2 linked regions of the Cricetulus griseus genome follow. The protein of the gene in region 1 purifies or fractionates together with the protein of each later gene. This does not show direct contact. Links are inferred from orthologs where the notes say so. Each region holds a gene or a part of one and is shown in the gene's direction. Other genes may lie near its edges.

What was found.
Region 2: the proteins of Atp2b4 (region 1) and Nptn purify together in Homo sapiens (co-immunoprecipitation; 3 studies listed by BioGRID and IntAct, with this or other methods). This does not show direct contact. The link is inferred for Cricetulus griseus from reciprocal best matches to the Homo sapiens genes ATP2B4 and NPTN.

The regions. Positions count from the first base shown.
Region 1 is NC_048598.1:55,393,478-55,397,866, forward strand, and holds the start of Atp2b4 (plasma membrane calcium-transporting ATPase 4), read left to right. Parts: upstream 1-1,559; 5' UTR 1,560-1,935; intron 1,936-4,389. UniProt on the Homo sapiens protein: Calcium/calmodulin-regulated and magnesium-dependent enzyme that catalyzes the hydrolysis of ATP coupled with the transport of calcium out of the cell. By regulating sperm cell calcium homeostasis, may play a role in sperm motility.
Region 2 is NC_048597.1:170,169,596-170,173,929, forward strand, and holds the start of Nptn (neuroplastin), read left to right. Parts: upstream 1-1,429; 5' UTR 1,430-1,665; coding exon 1,666-1,756; intron 1,757-4,334. UniProt on the Homo sapiens protein: Probable homophilic and heterophilic cell adhesion molecule involved in long term potentiation at hippocampal excitatory synapses through activation of p38MAPK. May also regulate neurite outgrowth by activating the FGFR1 signaling pathway.

The DNA.
Region 1 (4,389 bases):
AGCACTTAGGCAGTAGAGGAGAATCAAGGCCAGCCTCAGCTACATCGTGAGTTTGAGGCCAGCCTGAAATCCATGAGACCGTCTCCAAACACAAAACAAACAAAAAGAAATCAATGAGATTAGGAAGTAAAAAAGAAAGGGCCAAGTGGTAGGAAGTTGGGAAGCGCTCTTGGTCTTCTTCTAGGCTTTGTTTCTTCTTGCACACAAGTCTTTGTTTATTTGTTCAAGACAGGCTCTTGTTTGCTGTGTAGTTATAGCTGGCCTGGCTCCCACTGTGTAGCCCAGGCTGGCTTCAAATTCCTAACAGTCCTTCTGTCTCAGCCTTCTGCTTGCTAGGATTACAGGTATACTCACCATGCCTGGTTAGGTACTGGAGCATTTTTGAAGCTCTATTAATAGGTTGGGGAACCGTAATAATCCCCTTCTTCCCCTATACAGTACTCTATAACCTGTGAGGTTGTGTTAGCCTGCCTTTCATAAGCATGTAAACATGAGTGAGTATGTCTGCTGAGGTAGGTGTGGGAATGTATCCGTCAATGAAGATGTGTTGTGTGAGCCAGCTGATGGTGCATGTTTGTACTTGAAAGCCATAAGGTTCCATGCAAAAGCTATGGGTGGCACTGTTGCACAATGCTGGTGGGTGTGTGGCACGGGGGTGTGATTAACAGTTTATAGGCTGTGTCTAAGTGTGTACGGATGTCTCAGTGTGTACGCGCTAGGATGGAAATGTGTGACATAGTATGATACAGGGATAGGGAAGCACATAGTCTCTGGAATGGGTCTGATCTGACTTGCCCCTGAATCCTGGCTGTCATTAACCAGATGGGTAACCTTGAGCAAGTCGCTCAATCTTTAATTTCCTCAACCATGAAACCAGGACAGTAATGAGTACCTTTTTGAGACTGCCACCAGGGCTAAAAACGATATTGTAGATGCAAAGATTTGGGTGTTCAGCCACACACAGGCGAGCAGCCATTCTATGCCCTGTGGACATGCCTTTGGTTGGGTACACAAGCAAGAGAGAGCAAGATGTGACCTGGGTCTGAGGGTGAGGAGGCACCTATGTGTGTGGGCACCCTGAGCAATTGCCTCGTCTTTGACAGTGAACTCCCAGTTCAGACTGGGTCAGTAGGGCAGATGCCCACAGCCTCCTGAGGTTTCGTGGTCCTGAGTCTAAATCAGTATGAGAATGAGAGGCCTGGAGGAGCTGCAGGAAACAGAATGGCTTGCAGACACTTCCTTTATTTCCCCTCCACGCAGCAACGGTTGAAGACCGCTGCCCACATCCATTCCCACCTCCACCCACACCCACGCCTGCTCTGCTCCCCTTTCAACAAGTAAGAACCAGCGCTGGGAGAAAGCCAAGAGGGCAGAGGATTCCCCCTACCCTTCCCCATTCCCCCTTAAGACGGACCAAGAAGCATCATTCCGCCGCGCCTTGCTCTCGGGCTACCTTAAGAGCTGAGCAATGCTTTGGCCTCCCGCCAAACCCCACCCCCGCCGGCTCGCGCTCCGCCCCTTTCTCCTCCCGCCCTGCTGGGGGAGAGCTGGGGAGCCCCAGTCTGGCCAGAGTTGGCTGGAGCTGTTGCCATGACAAGCATTTTCTTAAGACAGCTCTTCTGTTGAGACCGTCCTAGGCTGGGGGTGGGGTGGGAGTACGAACTTCCTGGGGGACCATCCCTCCGAAGACGGCGAGGTCAGACACCCGCCCAGCTCCCTGCACCCATTTTCTTCCAGGAAGGTCCTTCGCGTGGAAGGGCTGGGGAAGAAGACTCAGTCCACTCCCCCAGCTGTGGCCAGAGAGCAAAGCCAGCATCACTAGGTGGTTTGCCACACTGGGGAGAGCGGTGGGTGGTCACCCCACCCTACTCGGTCCATGGAAACGCTGAGGGAGAGTCCCGCTTGGAGACACCTGAATCTTTGCTAGAAAGAGAGGTAGGTTTGCAGAGAATGAATTGACTCTGGGATTTGCAAACTTTGTTTCTTTCTTTCCTCTCAATAGCTTCTCAAAGTATCCGAATTTCCTCATGCTAGCAAATTCTGGGAGGGTGGGGTGGTGGAATAGGAGACAGAGGTGGGGGGAGAAAATGAGAATGTCTTCAACACTGTATTCTTCCCTGGGTTCTGAAGAACCATCTAATCAAACAAGTGATCCCTTTGCGTTTTCCTCTGGATCATGGGATGGGTGGGGAAATGGAGGGACTGCCTTTTTCTCACCCAAATTAAGCTCTCGGAACAAGTATTTATTCCAGCCGACCCCCATCCGCTCCTGCTCTCCCCCTCCCCCTCGGCTTGGGAACCAGCCGCAGAATGGAAAACTGTTGCGGAAAAAAAATATTTTCCGCGTCTGTTCCCTTTCTCGAAAGCCCCAAAGAGAGATGGGAAAAATAGGACCAAATAAATCTTCAGCGGGAAGGAAGGCCTTAGCGCCAAGGAGGGAGCTCACGGGGGGGGGGGGGGCGCATAAGGTGGAGATAGGCTAGGAGAAGTTGGAGGGTGAGAACCAGGAGTGCACAAATTAAATTTCTTTGGCTTTGCATAGAAACCTCAGCAGTTTCTCTCTGCGGCTTACAAAACATCCTCAGACTTTGACGTCTATAATTAGCTGTGGAAAAAGCTGGGAGTTCCCTCTCACTGCTGTTGTTTGAGTGAGCGTAAGCGTCCAGAACCAACTGTATGAGTGTCTCTAAGGGCACCGCCCCACGCATCTCTGATTCTATAGGGAAGGAAAGAGAAGGGGCACACTGAAAAGTTTTCAGTTTCAAGCCCCAGGCTGTGAGGTGGCCGGCTTGGGCCTCTGGCATCTTGAGAGGGTCCCTGAACAGATCGCTTTAGAGATAGACACTAAGGCTGGAGTTGCTCCCTCTTTCTCCTCTCTCCCTGTTTTGGTAGTGCGGGCCGGCTGGCGTCTTTCCTTGAGATGAGTCCAGCCTATACTCTGGTCCACCTCTAGAAGAATGCCTACTTGCTTCTCTCCAGCCGCGTGGGGAGATGGGAGGAGGGGCCCAGCAAATCCTGCGAGCAGGGAGAGCGCGCCCTGGCCGGAGGCATCTTCTTCCAGGGTACTCCTGCAGGACGCACAATGCCCTCCGGATCTGATGCTGGCCAGGTGGGCTGGTCGGGTGTCAGGTGAAGAAGTCAGGCGGCTGCTGTGACGCTGAGAAGGAAAGAGAAGTGGGGAGGGAGGGAAAACGAATTCCCGTTCTGCAGGCCATCTTTTCCTCCAGTTGGGGTGTGTGGCAGGGAGTCTTCAGATTCACTCCTTCCATGCTTGACACCCCCACCCACCCACATGAACTCCCCTTGTTCCTGGCTCTTCCCACTTAAGAGACCCTTTCCTATAGCACCCCCCTGGTCTGGGATCTCCTTATCTGGAAGGGAGGAGACCAGGGTTATTTCGGGCTGGGACCAGCATGGCAAGGGGCCTAGGGGAGAGAAGAATTTCAAAACAGGAGGACCCTATAATGTGGGCTATGAGAAAAGCCTTGCTGAGAACCTGAGGAAGAAATAGAAGGAGAGGTTAAAAGGTAGCCAGGGAAGCCACCAGAGCGAGCTTTCATTTGCAGGTGTTTGGTAATGGATCAGACCCTTTGGCCACTCTACCCCACCTGTGGTCTGATCCCAACAAGAATTGGTGCCCTTCTTCTATCGGAAGGGGAGGCGGGAATCCCGGGGGAGGGACCAATTCTGGTGGATAAGGATGGCTGCTGCCTGAGGTGTCTGCTTAGCGCGCACTAGGGTGCCTGTTCTAATGGCCATGTGTCCTGGGTCTTGGGCAGCTGGGGAGACCGCTTTTCAGCCCAGCTGTACCCCCACCTCTCCGAGCCGTGAGAACTGCAGGGTTGGGAATACTGCAGCAGAAGCTGGATCCCTCCCGTCTAGCAGCGTCTGTGACCTGCCCTATTGTCAGCCTCTCAGCAGCCCGGCTCCACCCTCTGGCATGGCTCTGCCCTAGTCTGAGTACTCAGAGGAGAACGGACTTAGATGTGGTAGAGGCTTCTAGCCTTCCGGTCCCTGCCGGTGCCTCTGCCCCTTCACTTCTGTTTTCCATCTCCGTGTCCCTGAATCCTTGGTTCCAAGGTCAAGTTGAAGGGACTTAGTTTGCCTCATCCCCGAGACTCCCAGCTTCTAGCACAGTGCCAGGACAAATAGAGGCACTCTGTCAACACTTCCAAGATGAAAGGGGGCAATTTAATTAAAAAAAAAAACATTTATTGGGGACCACATCTGGAGGTCAGGGAACAATTTATTCTCTCTTTCCACCATTTGGGTTCATGGGGACCAAACTCAGGCCATCAGATACTTCAAGGCAGGAGTCCTTACCCACAGATCCATCTTGCTAGTCCCCAGGGGTGGAGTAATAGCACCTGGGAATCACTTGCATGGGGA
Region 2 (4,334 bases), on another chromosome or scaffold:
CTTAAAACAACAGCCTTTCCTCTTTGTGCATACCACAGTTGTAGCCCTAGCCCTTACTGGAAGACTCAGTCTATAACCACTAGTTGTCTAGTTCCCAGGAAAGCTGGAGAGGCTGTGAGGATCTCCTTCCTCCAGATTCACCAAAGCCTTTGAAGAAAGTCAGGTCGGCAGGCCAGTTTACCATTCCTCATTTTTAAGTCATAGACACACCCGAGGATGCCTGTTCTGACTCAGGGATGACCTAAGCCACAGAGAACACTTCTTTGTTAACCACAAGTGCTGAGGGTGGTACAGGAAAAAAAAAAAAAAAAAAAAAAAAAACAATAAGCCAAGTCCCCCAAATCTGTGTTTGTGTGTGAGCAAGCCTGCATGCACTCGGAGGCCAGACGGCAGCTTCTGGCTGTCTCCCTTAACTACTCTCCACTTCAGTAGAGTGCAGGGTTTCTCACTGAACTTGGAGATCACCAACTGGCTAGGCTGGCTAGCCAGCAAGCTCCAGGTCCTCCTGTTCTCCACCTCTCCAGCCTGTGATGAAAGCCACAGGCCTGATGGCCATCTTTTCCCTTTTATGCTGGGGAAGGTCTTCATCCTAGTGCAGCAAGCATTTTTACCAACCATGGCATCTCCCCAATATCCTCCTTCTCCCAAAGGAGGCATTTCTCAAATTTCCATGCAACATGGCTAAATTCCCCCCCCCACGCCCCCCGGCCTTTTTTTTTCTGGCCCCTTTCCTATGGGTCATTTGACTCTTCCTAATCCACTGTGAACTGACTGGAAACTATTTTCTACAGGTTTCTCTACCAAAGATTCTGTCTATCACTTGACATATGACTTCCTTGTAGAATTTTTTCTATGGCCCTACAACTAGGCTAGTTAACTTCGGGCCCTCAGAGTCTGTGAAGCTAAAATAAGGCCAAAGGGGGGTGGGGATGGCACAGGTAGGGAGGAAAAGGAGGACACTTGAAGGCAGAGGGAACAGATGTCCGCGCAGGAAGGCACAGCAAGCGTGTAACACTGCCCGGGAGGGGAAAATGTGGCAGAGAGGTTGTGGCCAGATAGCTCTAGCGGTCTCTGGTCAAAGTCCAGAAGCAAGAATAGCAAGTTCTTGATAAGGGACGATGACAGGAAGCTTATTAGCGGGGTCTGGTGTATCCATTTCTGAAGTTTAGAGCGGTAACGCTTGAAAGGCAGTATGGGTGGAGGAGAGACAGTTTACTCAATGCTTCCTCTCATTTACGGGCACTAGGATTCCACCGAGGGGAAAACTGTACTCCGCCGTGCTCTCTGACGGCCTCCCCCGCGGGAGAGCGGGCGGGCGGGTGGAGTCCCCGCCTCGCCCCATCACGTGGCCAGAAGCGCCCTCTGCATGTGAGCTCCCTTGCGCTAGGCCAATCAGCCTCCGCAGGGGCGGGGACTTCGGGCGCGAGCCTCTTCTCGCGAGCCTTGCCGCCGGAGCTCCTGGACCGCCCACGGCCGCCAGCGGAGGTCTCGCGAGGCTTGGGCGCTGCGGCGGTAGGAGGAGGACGGGGAAGGACGGAGCTGGGGCGCCGCTGCCTCGCTCACTCACTCCCTCGCGCGCTCGCCCGCCCCCTCCCTCCCTCCCCTCCCTTCCCCGGCCCCGGCCCCGGCCCGGCCCATTCGCTGCGCGCTCTCCGGCTCGGGAGGATGTCGGGCTCTTCGCTCCCCAGCGCCCTGGCCCTCTCGCTCTTGCTGGTCTCTGGCTCGCTCCTCCCAGGGCCAGGTGCTGCTCAGAACGGTAAGCCGAGGGGCCGGGGGCGGGCCGGGCGGGGGCGCCGGGCTCCGGCAACCAGAGGGGCCGGGCCCAGGCCTGAAGGGGATGCCGGAGCCGGGAGCGGGCGGCCGGGCGGCCGGGCTGAAGCGAGGAGGCGCTTCGTGGAGAGTGGAGGCGTCGCTGTGCTGCGAGCCCGGGGCGCTGGAGACAGGTCCGCGCGCGGCGTGGGGCTCTGCGCTCACCAGGAGCTGGAGTAGCGGGGGCGGCTCTGGAGAAGGCGTTCGAGTTCGAGCCGGCAGAGGGGTGTTGGCGGCGAGGGAACCGGGTTCTGCAGGCGCTGACACCGGGATTCTACGGGGGCCCCGGAACCCTAGTGACATCCTGGAAAATGGGAGGAGGGGGAAGCTGGGGTGAAAAGGATCCTGAAGAACACCTAGCGGGAGCCACTACTTGAGTCTCCAAGGAGAGGGGTTAGTAAGGGATTCGGGGAACCTTGGATTTGGGGGTAGAGGGAAGGTGGGCGGAAAGATGATGGAGTGGGTTGACTGCAGTGGGGGACCTGGAAAAGAGAAGCAGCAGTGTCTCCAAACGAGCTGCTGGGGGAAGAGGGCTGGGTTTTGCCAAAGAGGGTGGAGTGCTGGGCATTCTAGGGTAGCGGTTGGGAAAGCAAAAGGGAGTTTCTAAATAAGGAGAGGAAAATGAGCAGAGGATGGGGGGAAAGCATTAAAACTGAGGTAGAGGAAGCATCAGAGAAGTAAAGGGTGCCTGGGTATAGAGGTGGGTGTTGGGGAAGACGAAAAATAAGGGAAGGGAGTAAAATGCAGGAAGTCGGGGGTGTAATGTTGCTTTGCAGCGTGGTGGATACATTAGGGAGGGGATGAGTTGTGGCAAATGCTGTATGATGTAGGTTTGGCCTTTGGGGAGGGCTGGGACAGTTACATCTGCAGTGGTGGGATTGAGGGCAGTTGAGTGATGGCAGGGAAATGGAGGAAGTGGGCTTTTGAGATTTAAAAGTTTCAAGACTGAAAAGATGTCATTTCTGTGGAATATGAATGTGGCCTCTGGGATGTGTTTAAGGTACAGTGGAAGCGAAAATTGGGTTTCGAGCTGAAGCTTTTTAGAGAAGATGATGAAGGATAATAGGCATGGGGGAGCTAAACCTGACGGATTCTGATTGACAGCATTGCCACAGTTCTGTTGCTGAACTGATCTTTCAGAAGCAAACTTAAAAGGATAATGAGCCTATTTCAGTTATTGTGGAAACAACTATTAAGAGGTTTAAAGATTTTTTCATATGAAAAAATCATAAGAAGTCGGTTGGGGTAGGGAGACATAAATTAGTTTTAATCTCCTCATTCTTCGTTGTTATACTAAAACAATTAAAATTGCTCTTGTCTGAAATTAAAATGGCTTTCATTAAAACAAAATCACGCAGAGTCCGTGGAGTTGAGGGTTCTGAAGAGAAACCGACCTTAAAATGCTAGAGGTTACAGCGAAAATACAGTATTGAGACAAAAAAAAAAAAAAGCGCTATCATTCTACTTAGGGAATTTTATGCCCTATGGCTTTGTTTCTTCATGGGTCAAAAGGGAAACATTTTTCTGTCTCTTACATTGAATATCCTAAGGATGTGGGCACCCCCACCCCATTTTCCTTAAGTACAAAGCTGTGGAAGGGAAATGGTAGAGTTAGCCTGATTTGCTTGCTCTACCAGTCATTTATGTGATATGACTTGACTCTAATTCTGATTTCAGTTATTTGTGGAAGTAGCAGTTTCATTTTGTGCTGTAGGTGAGAGATTCTTGATGGTAGATGTTTAATCTGTGCTGGCATAAGTTGTTTTGGATGATTTATAATATGGTAAATTGTAGTTTCTTAGCAACTAAGGCAAGGCTTTTGGATAGGTCTACAAAGACTCATCTGGCTGCTCTTAGTGATAATATGTTCTAAATACAGCATAGTACAGCCTTTCCCTTGAAATGAGCTTGGATTTAGTCACGTGACAAGACTAGTAAAGTGACGATGAGTCCATAGTTGACCCAAATGAATGTAAATTGAATTCAATAAAGAAATGGTTACTTTTGAGTTTATATGGTTAAGGATGCCATTTTAAAACTTTCTGTAATGTGTCTCAGTGGAAATATTTAAGCTTTCTGTTGATAATAGTCTTGCAATAGTCTGATTTCATGTCCTAAAGGTTTTACTTTTTGTACAGTGTTTCAGAAAGAGATACCATGTTCCATATGATATTGAAATGTTAGACATACAGATTATCTCTTTAAAATAATGCTTTGGAAAATCAGTGGTAGAGTCACTGCTTCTGGACGGAAAATGTGGCCGTTTAGATTAGGAATGTAGAACTTTCTGAAAAGGCTTCTGTTTTCATTAGTCCTCAAATGAAGATTTTGGTCTAGATGACCCACAGCATCTCTTTTAACTCCAAAAGGATTCTGACCCATTACCATAGGGATTCAAGTAGACTTCATTTTTCATATAAATATTTAGATTTGTAAGACCACAGTTTTAGGTAAAACCTTTTTTTTCTTTTTTTGGGTATGTATGTACCAACAATACAATTCTAAGGCAAAAATTTGAGATATTC